Schizosaccharomyces pombe: one gene and its partners. Changing the gene in region 1 together with any one later gene gives a genetic interaction. Each region holds a gene or a part of one and is shown in the gene's direction. Other genes may lie near its edges. The genes, in order: cdr1, sol1 and shf1.

Region 1 (3,758 bases):
ATGTCATGGTAAAGTTCGATTGCTTTGTGCATCTCCGTTAGCAGCTGCATCAAGCGAGTATCCAACGATGATCATCTCGATTCGTTTTGTGTGTTCATGAAACCCACGCCTTGCGTATGAAGTTGCCCACTTTGTATGACAATGAGATAATCTTACACTGCAATAAGGCCATATACCCGTAGTTGTTGGTACGACCACTCACATTCCAAAGTCCAACTCAATAGTGAAGAAATTCATCATTGGCAACAAGTCATCAACACTTCGTTGCTGTTGGACACTTCTACCAAACGTTCTTTATTGACAACTTTGAACGGCTTCGGCTGCATTCCCGAGCCCTGTAACGCCTATCTTTCATGTGGCTCGGAATGTAAACCAGAAACTCAGACAAATACCGCTGTTGGATCGCACTGATGATATTTGTTTATCGAGGCTGTGTTCATTTTTCTTAGTCATTTTAGCGTAACGAACTGACACCGAAAAATATCAAGCAATCAAGTAGATCCATCTGTCCAAGCACCAACCACATCTTTGCTCGATAATCAAACTTGGATTACCGATAGTTAAAGGTGAAGGATCGGTTTTGCTGGTTTCATTCGATTTTCCAAACATCGTCGATTCAGTAGACTGGGGTTGAGTCAGTATCCAAGCCATTCTTGCGCTCAATTGATAATTATGGTAGGTTACCCAAATGTTGTATGCCAACTGTATTACTTACCCGTGGTTATATTTTGAAAACAGCGAAACTGTGTAAACAATTTCTGTTTGTTTCTCAATTGTTTGTGGCGTACACGTATTGCAGCTCTCAAGTTGCTATAGTATATTTTTATTGTCTAATAAAAATTTAATGAATTTATTTAGTTGAAATATTTGCAGTAAGAATGTTCATGTTGATATACCATGTAAAAAAGTCACATAAAGTTGAGCAAGCTGAAAAAGAATAAGTTTTCGCCTCCAAATATAAAAATTTCAATTAAATTGTAGAAAATTATAGATTCTTTATAATATCGTAATTTCTTAAGCGGGGCCTATAGTCTTTCATCAACTTTTCACGACAGTCGTTGTTATTCATACCATAGGATGAAGACGATTTCAAACATCCAATATTCGCTTATAATGATGAAATGAACTTCAGTAACCCGTTCAATACATTCATTATATACTGAGATTTCATCTATTATTGAAGCAAGTTTCAATGTTTGGCATGAAGCCGGCTCTAACACTTGTCAGATTTCAAGTACCTGTTTTCATTATTTTTTTTGCTCAAATTTTCAAAAAAAGTGTAATGGCATGTGTTATCAGATATGGTATGCATCATGTCCCTGGTTATCCCCGAAGTAGAACGGGTTCTTGACCGTGCTACCAAGTCGTGTTACTTTTCGATGAAAAACTGGAATTCCCTGCTAAAACTACACGAGTAAAACAAGAAAAAATATTCATCTATTGCAATAACTTGCTCCTAGATTGCCAAAACGAGTACTACGTAAACAAATGTGAAAGAAGCAGAAAAGACTGCTAAAGTTGCTTTTAACGAAAATGTAAATAAGAGAAGAAAAGACAACTTTAACGGTTCGATTTTACTACAATATGAATATTAATTAAACTTCATAAAGCGAAACTGAAAAACTAAATAAAATTTGCTCTACAGCTATAAATCAGCTGTTAATATTCAAGTTTTTATCAAGACAGCACTATGAGCCTGAGATTACCACCCTCAAGGACTAGAAACCAAGTAGTGGATTGCTTCCGTTCCTTAAGTCATCCTATCGTGATCCGCCGAAATAATCGTAAGCCTTCAATACACTCTTCATATGTTCCCTGATCAAGTCCAAGTAGTGCCCCACCCTTCCCTACTCTTGAACACTTATATCCGCTCCTCCAGCATTCATGTTGTCCTCTGCCAAACTTATCTTGGCCAATTCCGTCTTTTGGACTACTCTGCATAAGAACTCAGCATTGTTTTCGATTTTAGGAATTGCTGGGATCCTGTTTGTATTAATATTGTAGATCGATATTTTGAAACATCTGTAGGCCTTCTATATAGTGGGTTGTTCTACATATTATTTATTTATTCATTCATCTTTCTTTGTTTTACTTACTGTTCTCCATATTTTTATCTGATTATACAGGGTTTGAATTAAAATCCGTTAGTTTATTTTATTCTACCTTTTTCAACTATTTGACCGCCCCAATATTTCCATTTTTACTTTCTCCTTTCTTGTTTCTTCTCTCTTTTAATTTATGAAAGTTCAATCCTTATTCGAATATCATTAACTTAACCTTTATTGGATTTATACATCACGAATCTTATACACTTTACATACTTTCTTTATTTTACGCTCCCCTTCGTTTCTTTTTCTTTGTCTTTACCTTTTTTTATTGCTGTTACTCAAAACGTCTTGTAACTTACATTTGTTATTTGTGTTCTTGTGCTACTTCCCATTTTTTTTTCAAGGTCCGTCTATTTCCGTTCCACGTTTCACTTTTCTGTTCTACAATACACTCAGAAAAGTGCTTTAGGTTATTTATGAGGCACTCTTATTTTATTAATTCGTTTCCAGTATCTATTTTGTGATCACACCCTATTTTGTATCGTGGTGTCATTCACTTTTTCCTTTACTTATTCCAAATTTCATGCTACTTTTTCGACATTTATTCTACTTTTCATCATAAGTATTTCAGATTTTCTGAAGTTGCTATTATTCAGTCTGCAATTTTACTTTTGGAAAGCCTTTTCCCTTAATAAAAGGTTAGATTTGAATGGTGAAGCGACACAAAAATACTATTGGCGTATGGCGTCTTGGGAAGACTTTAGGGACTGGTTCCACTAGCTGTGTGCGTCTTGCCAAGCATGCTAAAACTGGTGATTTGGCTGCCATCAAAATTATCCCTATTCGATATGCCTCCATAGGAATGGAAATCTTAATGATGCGTTTGTTGCGCCATCCTAATATTCTTCGACTATACGATGTTTGGACCGATCATCAGCATATGTACTTAGCACTCGAGTACGTCCCTGATGGTGAGCTTTTTCACTATATACGCAAACATGGACCTTTGAGCGAAAGAGAGGCTGCGCATTATCTTTCCCAAATTCTTGATGCTGTAGCGCATTGTCATCGCTTTCGCTTTCGCCATCGGGATTTAAAACTTGAGAATATTCTCATCAAGGTAAATGAGCAACAAATTAAAATAGCTGATTTTGGCATGGCCACTGTTGAACCAAATGACTCTTGTCTTGAGAATTATTGCGGCTCTTTACATTATTTGGCTCCCGAAATTGTATCTCACAAACCATATCGTGGAGCTCCTGCTGATGTTTGGTCTTGTGGTGTCATCTTGTATTCATTGTTGTCGAATAAGCTCCCCTTTGGTGGTCAAAACACAGATGTTATTTATAATAAGATTCGCCATGGCGCATATGATCTTCCTTCTTCAATTTCTTCGGCTGCGCAAGATTTGTTACACAGAATGCTAGATGTAAATCCAAGCACGCGTATAACAATTCCGGAAGTTTTTTCTCATCCATTTCTAATGGGCTGTACATCATTGAGCTCTATGGATAGCACTACCCCTCCTACCCCTTCACTGTCAATTGACGAAATTGATCCATTAGTAGTTGATTGCATGTGTGTGCTTTGGAAAAAATCATCCTCTAAAAAAGTCGTTCGTCGTCTTCAACAGCGAGATGATAACGACGAAAAATATGTGTATAAAGTTTTATCCGAGATTTTGCGCGATGATATGTTGAAAAAACAACG
Region 2 (3,758 bases), on another chromosome or scaffold:
TGTTGGTTTGCACGAAGAGAGCGAGAAATGGTTCGCAAAAACGATCCAACACATATTTGATCTCCAAAAAAAGTGCATCGCTACGGAATAAAGGTCTCCAGCGCTTAAAAATCGCATGTGCAGTAGAAAGTACAGCAATATTCGTGTTCATGTCAACAGCAGACAATTTAGATATCAGATCGGGGAGAAGAGTGTCCCACCGATCAGGGAAATCAAAGTTGGCAATATAACCAATTACTTCACCTAGCTGAACTTGAATAATGGTAGTACTTTTCAGCATCAAGTTGATTATTTCGCGTTTGATCAATTCTGCCACCTCATCGCTGATACGAATAGAAGCACCTTCCTCAGAATCCCAATGTTTTTTAATGTAATTTTTGAAATACAATGAAGCGGCCAGCTTAATATTGATGTCTACTGTATCCTCAGCGACAATATTGAGGAGTTTTAGTGCAAAAGAACTATCTTGTAATTCCCATACTTTCAGTGCTTCCTCAGCTATATCAGTTAGTAAATTTGCTTTATCCACTCTGTTGGGGTATCTTACCACTTTTGGAAGTCGTAGGGTTTAATGTTCTCGCAAGAAGAGTTGGAATGTCATCCATAGTTTTCCTACAGGGATTGTGGTTAAGGGCAGATTTTGAAGGACACCGACGTAACTAGAACAATTTCTCTAACATCGTTATAGAGAATTTTTAATTCCGGTTTTATTTATTAAATAATTTTCTCTTAAGTTTGATATAGTTAACATCTTTTAATTAGTTTGTTTGCTTCTTTTTCAGGCTTGTTAATGTAATACTTTTCTTCGCTTAATTTTTGTTTTTTTTTCTATTAAAACACCCTAATATACCAATATTTGTAAATAAATAGTTGGACTATACTTGATAAATTACTTAAAAAAGGAATTAAAACTAATAAAATCTATAATTCATTATCAATAATTCAAGGGTTCACATTTTAATTATCAGCTTGTAAATACCTAATTTCCGAATTACTTGGTTTTAGTTTGCAAGCTCATTAAACATTTTATGAACCGTCAGAATAGAAATCGCTTTATACGTGGACTTGAAAGTTGTGTTAGTTGACTTTTGTTTCAAATCTAATTCTTGTTTATGCCATCAAATTCTACATGTGCAATATAGCATCTCCATCTTTATCTCAAATACTACAAACCTTTTTTTATTGTAGTATTTAGTTTTTTTCCTTCTTGAATCGGATATTCCTTTTGCGAGTTGACTTGAAACCATAGATTTGCAAAAGTAAATAATTAAGTCATAAACATATATATTTTACACGTACAAGCCCTTGTCCATAGAGTTCAACAACCTAAATCCAATTGCTTGATAATAGAAATTACCATATTCTACTATCTTGTTTCATTCATCAATAGGTTTACACATATGAAAGCACGTTTATAGAAAACAATGAAATTTATAAAATGACATTGCGTCGAGTCTTATGTAGCCAGAAAGAAAGAAGGAAAAATAATGAATAAAAAATAAAAAAAAGGTTAGACCAGATAAATTTGAATTAATGTGTCAATTTTGATTGCTCCTTTCAAAAAAAAAAAAAAAAAAAAAAGAAAGAAAAGGAGGATAACGGGATCTCGAATATGTTAACTCATATGCTTTTACTATTTTAAAAAAAAAAAAAATAATTTATTAAAAAAATATCTGTTTCCGCAAGAAGAAGATGTTGTACTCGTGATTGTTTACAGTTTCGCCAAGTCTACTAACAGAGCAAGTTAATAAATATTGTTTCTATTACAAGAGGAATAAGATATTATTTTGTTTTTAAAATTTTAGATACCTGACTAATCGATAAATGCTTCCCAATGCTAACAATTGTCATTGACTTGGAAATAAGAGACACTGCAAAGGCAAGAAATCACGTTTGCGAGATTTAAAGGAATGAGTGTAAAGATTTTTTAGGAATTTAAGCATTTTCTGAAACACACAGATTAGGTTCTTAAAGGCAGCACTAAACAACTCGTTATATGCACTTCGTCTGCTTTTCAAGCACTTTCAGCTGCCAAGCGCCTTAGACGTTAATATATTGAAACGTGTATTTTAAGGTCCCTTTACTCTTTGTTTGATTTAGTATGAGGAATCATGAATAATCAAGGGTTTGTTCCTGCGAGTGATTATCCAACCGCAGTATCATATCCCACGCAAGGTCAAAGTTATAATACTCAGGAAGAACAACCTGCGTATCCTCAACGCTTTTCGACAAGCCAAGGGATGTATGCAGCAGAATATGGAAATGCAAACATGATGAATACTTCCGAGAATGAGCCTAACAATTTGGCTCATTCACAGCCCTTCCGACAATCTCCATCAACTCAACGTAATTTGCCAAATCAATCATTTGATTTCGCCTCTAACGGTGCATGGAATGGCTCTGGATCTGTGAAATACTCTAGTCCCATGATGCCTTCAAGTCGGATCCCGTTTCAACAAGAAAAAGAGGCTGCAATGCAGCAGCAACAACAACAGCAACAGCAGCAACAACTTTATCAACGACAAATGCAAAGCAGAGAGGCCTTACTCTCTCAACAAATTCCTCCTAATCAAATTGGCATCAATGCCCACCCAGCTGTAAGACAAACTCCTCAACCTGCACCTTCCCCAAATACTCCCTCTGGTAATGCTAATCAACTAACGCCTGCTTATGCTGCTAGTTTTGACAAATTCATGGTTAGCCTTATTTCTTTTATGGAAAAGCGGGGGACGCCAATCAAATCTTATCCTCAAATAAATAATACGCCTATTAATTTAATGATGCTGTACGCCTTGGTTATGCGTGCCGGTGGATCTCGACAAGTCTCAGCTCATAATTTTTGGCCAAAAATTTCTGCTTCCTTGGGGTTTCCATCTCCTGATGCTATTTCCCTTCTAATTCAATATTACAATTCCTATCTGCTTCCATATGAAGAAGCATGGCTTGCTGCTCAACAGCAACAAAAATCACTTCAACAAGCAAAAGCTAATCATTCTGCGAATGTTCAAAGCAGACCAAAAAACTATCCACAAAAGCCGGTCCAAACCACCCCAGAAGCTGTACATGCCAATGGTTCTATGCATGGATCACTTCACTCAAAGTCACCCTCCCCAGCATTCACCGCTAATCGTTTCTCTCCAGCTGCTCCTACCACAGTTAGTTCTGAAAGAAATGCTCCACCATACCCTTCTGCTCCGACTCGACCCACTCCGCCCACCGTTCAAACTTCTTCTTCGGCAGCTCCTGTTGATTCTGCCGAACCCGTTGCTTATCAACCGATAAAAAAGCCCATCGATCCTATGTTGGGTTATCCCTTGAATGTCGCGGCCACGTATAGGCTCGATGAATCTTTGCTTCGGCTTCAGATGCCTTCAATCGTAGATCTGGGGACTGTAAACATTCAAGCCTTGTGCATGAGCCTGCAATCTACTTTGGAAAAAGAAATAACGTATGCAATGAACGTTTTACTTATATTAACAAATGATCAAAAATGGATGTTTCCGTTAAGTGAGTGCCAGGATGTAGTTGATGCGTTGATTGACGTTGCAACTCAGTGCCTTGATAATCTGCTATCTGTTCTTCCTAATGAGGATTTAATGGAAATCGCCGATAAACGTCCTTCTTATAGACAACTTCTTTACAATTGTTGCGTAGAGATATCGCAGTTCTCCAGAGAAGACTTTTCAAATTCACTAAGCGAAAACAAAACAAAAGATAGCATCAATGCTATTGATGTTCATAATTCGGAGCAAAATTTG
Region 3 (3,758 bases), 2.1 Mb from region 1:
ATAGAATTAAGCATCTAAAGGATAACTTTTCTAGTAATCTATTTTGCTCGGGAAATCTTAAAGTAATCAGTAAATACATCAGTTCCAACTTTTAATGATTCTTGAACGTCGTCCCAGGTACTACGCTTTTCCTCTTCTCGAGTTCCCCTATTTTTTTTGTCTTCTTTGAGCCATTCCAAACATGTCTCTAGAAGGGCGCTATTTCCCGTAGAGGACCTTGTCATCAGAGCACCAAACTTGGATATTGGTCCATAATCCACGATACGCCCAAGACTGAGATGGACCAAGTGAGTTGGCCACTCAGCTAAACCATCAAATATATGTGTTGCATAAACAATAGTAGCATTCCTTACTTCCGTTTCCTCTTGCAAAAAATTTAACAAATCTGCCCGGGCAAGAACATCCAAATCTACAGTTACTTCATCAAGTAAAAGTACTTCAAATGGACGCAGAAGTCCCATACATAGTTGAACACGTCGTCTTTCACCATCGGACACTGCATGCATTCGCCAACGAAGATCTATATCAAGAATTGAAATCAAGAAATCCCTACGTTCGGCAAATTTATCTCCTCCAACAGAAGCAATTAATCGTGCAACACTCATATCCCTATGTATAACAGGGTTGTTAACCCATTCTACAAACGCACACATCAGTAAAATTTGATGTTAAAAGAACTTACCAGTTCCTAAATAAACAAATGCAGAACTAGACTCACGAAAAGGATCTTTACCACCCACCGATATATGTCCTGCTTTCGCAAGCGATTTTCCAGATAAAAGTTTAAGTAAAGTTGATTTTCCTGTTTAACAAAATTCCAAGAGGACATCAGTTAGCATTTAAATATTCTTCATCAATTTCCATAACACCGCGAAACTTACCAGCTCCATTGGCTCCAACAAGTAAAGTCCTTGATCCTTTAGGAAGATCTAAAGTTACGTGATCAAGACTTAAAGGCTGCTTTGGAGAAAACGTGTAAGAGAGGTTTGAAACAGTTACTTCCATTTTGAAATAGAATGTTTTAACAGTAGTAAAATATAATTATCTAAGAACTTAGTTTTACAATATATAAAGGATCCAAAAAAAGGCGCAAATTAAATAACACTCAAACTTTGTGGGTTAGCTGGATTGTGTTTAGTACATCTGTGTATCAAGTAAAGTGTGGAGGGAATGCAGTAAAGTTGTTATAAGCAAGACCTCGTACTAATAAATTAGCTTTCCAAGTCTTTGTAAAGAACCTTTTTTAACTATTAAGTAATGCTGCCCATATTTGGAGATGCTATTAAGACCTTGAACACACATCCTGCGGAGTCTTGGAAAGAAAAATGATTAACATCGATGGAACAATTGGCAAACAATATATATAGGAGATAGAAGCAGATAACATTTGTAATCAACTACAATTTATGCTACATATTATTTGGCTTAAAACTAAGTAATAATACTTTCCTAAGGTCACCCCATTTCGTTTAAGACAACAGACAAACCTAACATTCGCATGGAATTTTTTAACAGCAGGCGGACATTTCTCAAATAAAAAAATATAAATATAATATTATTTCATTCCTGCTAAACGATTTTAGCTTTTCAACGTAGTATTGCCCATATCATTAGACTTAATATATTAAACAACAAACAAACATCGATATGGGCGAAGGGCTTTATATAACGCGGTACGTAAAATAGTCTTACCTCAAACCGTTTTCTCACACCGTGATTTTAATTGAATTAAGTATTACTATTTTTCGGTTCTTTAACCAATTGTTTTAATTAGATAGTGTACATTTTTCGTGAAAAAAAAGAACCATTAATATCAGCACTTAATTATTCACTTTAATGAGCAGCAGAAGAAATGACTACCACTATGATGGAAACGACCACCAGTATCGTAGTCCTTTGAAATCAAACGTTGATCAAAACAGTTTTTATGAATCTAGTTATAGGAGCCGACAATCCTACCATCAAAGAACAAAAACACCCAGATCTAGTTATGATTCACCCTCTTCATCTACAAATTCCAAGGAACACAATTCTCCCTATCATTATAGAGTCCCTAGCAATAATTCAACAAGAGCGTCTTTTGGGGCAGCTTCTACGGATACGAATGTAGAATTGCCGAAGATTAATCTTCCAGACTCGAGTTTGTCAAGTAAACTTCAAAGCTGCAAGTCTGCGTGCGAGAATTCATCCCAGAGTTTATTGAATGTCGAACAACAATACGCTCAACAAGTACATTTTTGGGAAAAAATTAGAACGGATATATACCGAGAAGGTCTACGTAGTGATGCAGCTGTAAAAAGCTTAAACGATTTTGTAAATAATGTCAGCTTCTAAATAAATTATTGCAATCATCGTCTGCGTACAAATCATTGAGCTTCCGCTTTGTGGATATTATTATGACTTTTTATTGAAAGTTTTATCCCAAACCCATATTTATAAACATGAATGTTTTTGTATAGCGTTTTTTTTTTTAAAAAAAAAAAATAAAAATAAAAAAACGCTTCATACACTCTAAACATTCTCAGACTACTTCGGTTCTCTCCCTTTTAACGTATAATATGCATTTTAGATTTTCTGAAGTTTCATTACGGTGAAAGTGCTGTAATGGACACAGCGTTCTAAATGTCTTCTTTTTTAATTTTCAAAAACAAACTCGAAAATAACAAATTTTCGCCTTGCATATCCAATAAACGAATATGTCTATAGCCTTGTTGCAGTCTGTCAATCGGACAAGTAAAATTAGCAAATATAGAGTCATTTCCATTACTTCCTCGATGATGGACGAGAAATCGGATCATGGAATAAAAGTCATCACTAATTATACTCTCATAAACCATGGTTTCTCCCCAAAAAGGTCGAAATCCATTTTCGTGCACAACTTTGGAACACCAACGAAAAGGAGATTCTTCCATTGAATGAACTTGGATCTCAACATAAGGGCTGAGAGTTTCAGAATTAGAAAGTTCTCTAGCTCTTCTAAGTTGTTGCCCAGATATGACATCTATTGTTAATTTTATTTTACGAGGAAGTCCTTCTTCGCCAACTGTTGTACCAATTATTCGTTGACAAGGTGGCTTTAACAAGTACCCAGTCGGAGGATCAGCTATAAACAAAGCATCATTTATTTGAAGACCTGTATCATAAGTTTGCCAGTTTAGAGCAACCATTTGCACACCCAGGCGCCAATACACCTGAGGATTAAAATTTGTACTTCCTACTCTCAATGGGCCAGGGTATACACGACACAAATAGCGTAAATTATGTTTGCTAAGTCTTGGAACCATAGCTTTTCCATGCTTTTTTATAGTCCTTTCCGAAAATGAGAATATGTGGCTATACGTTTTTGATTCCGGTAAAGAAAAATTTCGAAATTTCAATGATCGGGCATAAGGTGCAAGCTGTTGCAATTCCTGCACAATGATATTTTTCATCCGTCTTTTACCTTTCCTTAACCCTGTTAATTCTGAATTTTCTAGCTCCGATGATTCGGTAGTATCAGTCGAAGAATCAGTTATCCCAACCTTCAGTATGTCTGTCGAAAATTGGTGCAATGGTGTTGCTGAACATTTGACTTTCAGCAAAATTTTGTTCAGTAAATCTTCGGGTGAAGGAAGAACTGATTCGTTAGCGGTAACGGGTTTCATCACCAAAGTATCCCCAAATGCTTGTTTCATGTAACTAACCATTTGACGTTGTTGGTCAGGGCAGCAATGAATTTCCAAAGAAATGAATAATGGATAAGGTGAAACGACGAAAGC

Evidence for each region.
Region 2: of cdr1 (region 1) and sol1, changing one enhances a phenotype caused by changing the other (phenotypic enhancement), as found in Schizosaccharomyces pombe (one study listed by BioGRID).
Region 3: mutations in cdr1 (region 1) and shf1 together harm fitness more than expected from each alone (negative genetic interaction), as found in Schizosaccharomyces pombe (one large-scale study listed by BioGRID).

What each region holds. Positions count from the first base shown.
Region 1 is NC_003424.3:2,680,546-2,684,303, reverse strand, and holds the start of cdr1 (serine/threonine protein kinase (NIM1 family) Cdr1/Nim1), read left to right. Parts: upstream 1-1,896; 5' UTR 1,897-2,757; coding exon 2,758-3,758. UniProt on the Schizosaccharomyces pombe protein: This protein, a dose-dependent mitotic inducer, appears to function as a negative regulator of mitosis inhibitor wee1 by phosphorylating and inactivating it.
Region 2 is NC_003423.3:1,310,078-1,313,835, reverse strand, and holds the start of sol1 (SWI/SNF complex subunit Sol1), read left to right. Parts: upstream 1-2,033; 5' UTR 2,034-2,111; coding exon 2,112-3,758. Other genes in the region: karyopherin/importin beta family nuclear export signal receptor Kap109, read right to left, coding at 1-498, 548-605.
Region 3 is NC_003424.3:4,809,346-4,813,103, reverse strand, and holds the start of shf1 (histone H2B-K119 ubiquitin ligase complex (HULC) subunit Shf1), read left to right. Parts: upstream 1-1,695; 5' UTR 1,696-1,836; coding exon 1,837-2,334; 3' UTR 2,335-2,618; coding exon of another isoform or gene 2,619-3,758. Other genes in the region: CCR4-Not complex subunit Caf16, read right to left, coding at 39-637, 683-802, 882-1,005; phosphoinositide phospholipase C Plc1, read right to left, coding at 2,619-3,758. UniProt on the Schizosaccharomyces pombe protein: Component of the histone H2B ubiquitin ligase complex (HULC) which plays a role in transcription regulation by catalyzing the monoubiquitination of histone H2B to form H2BK123ub1.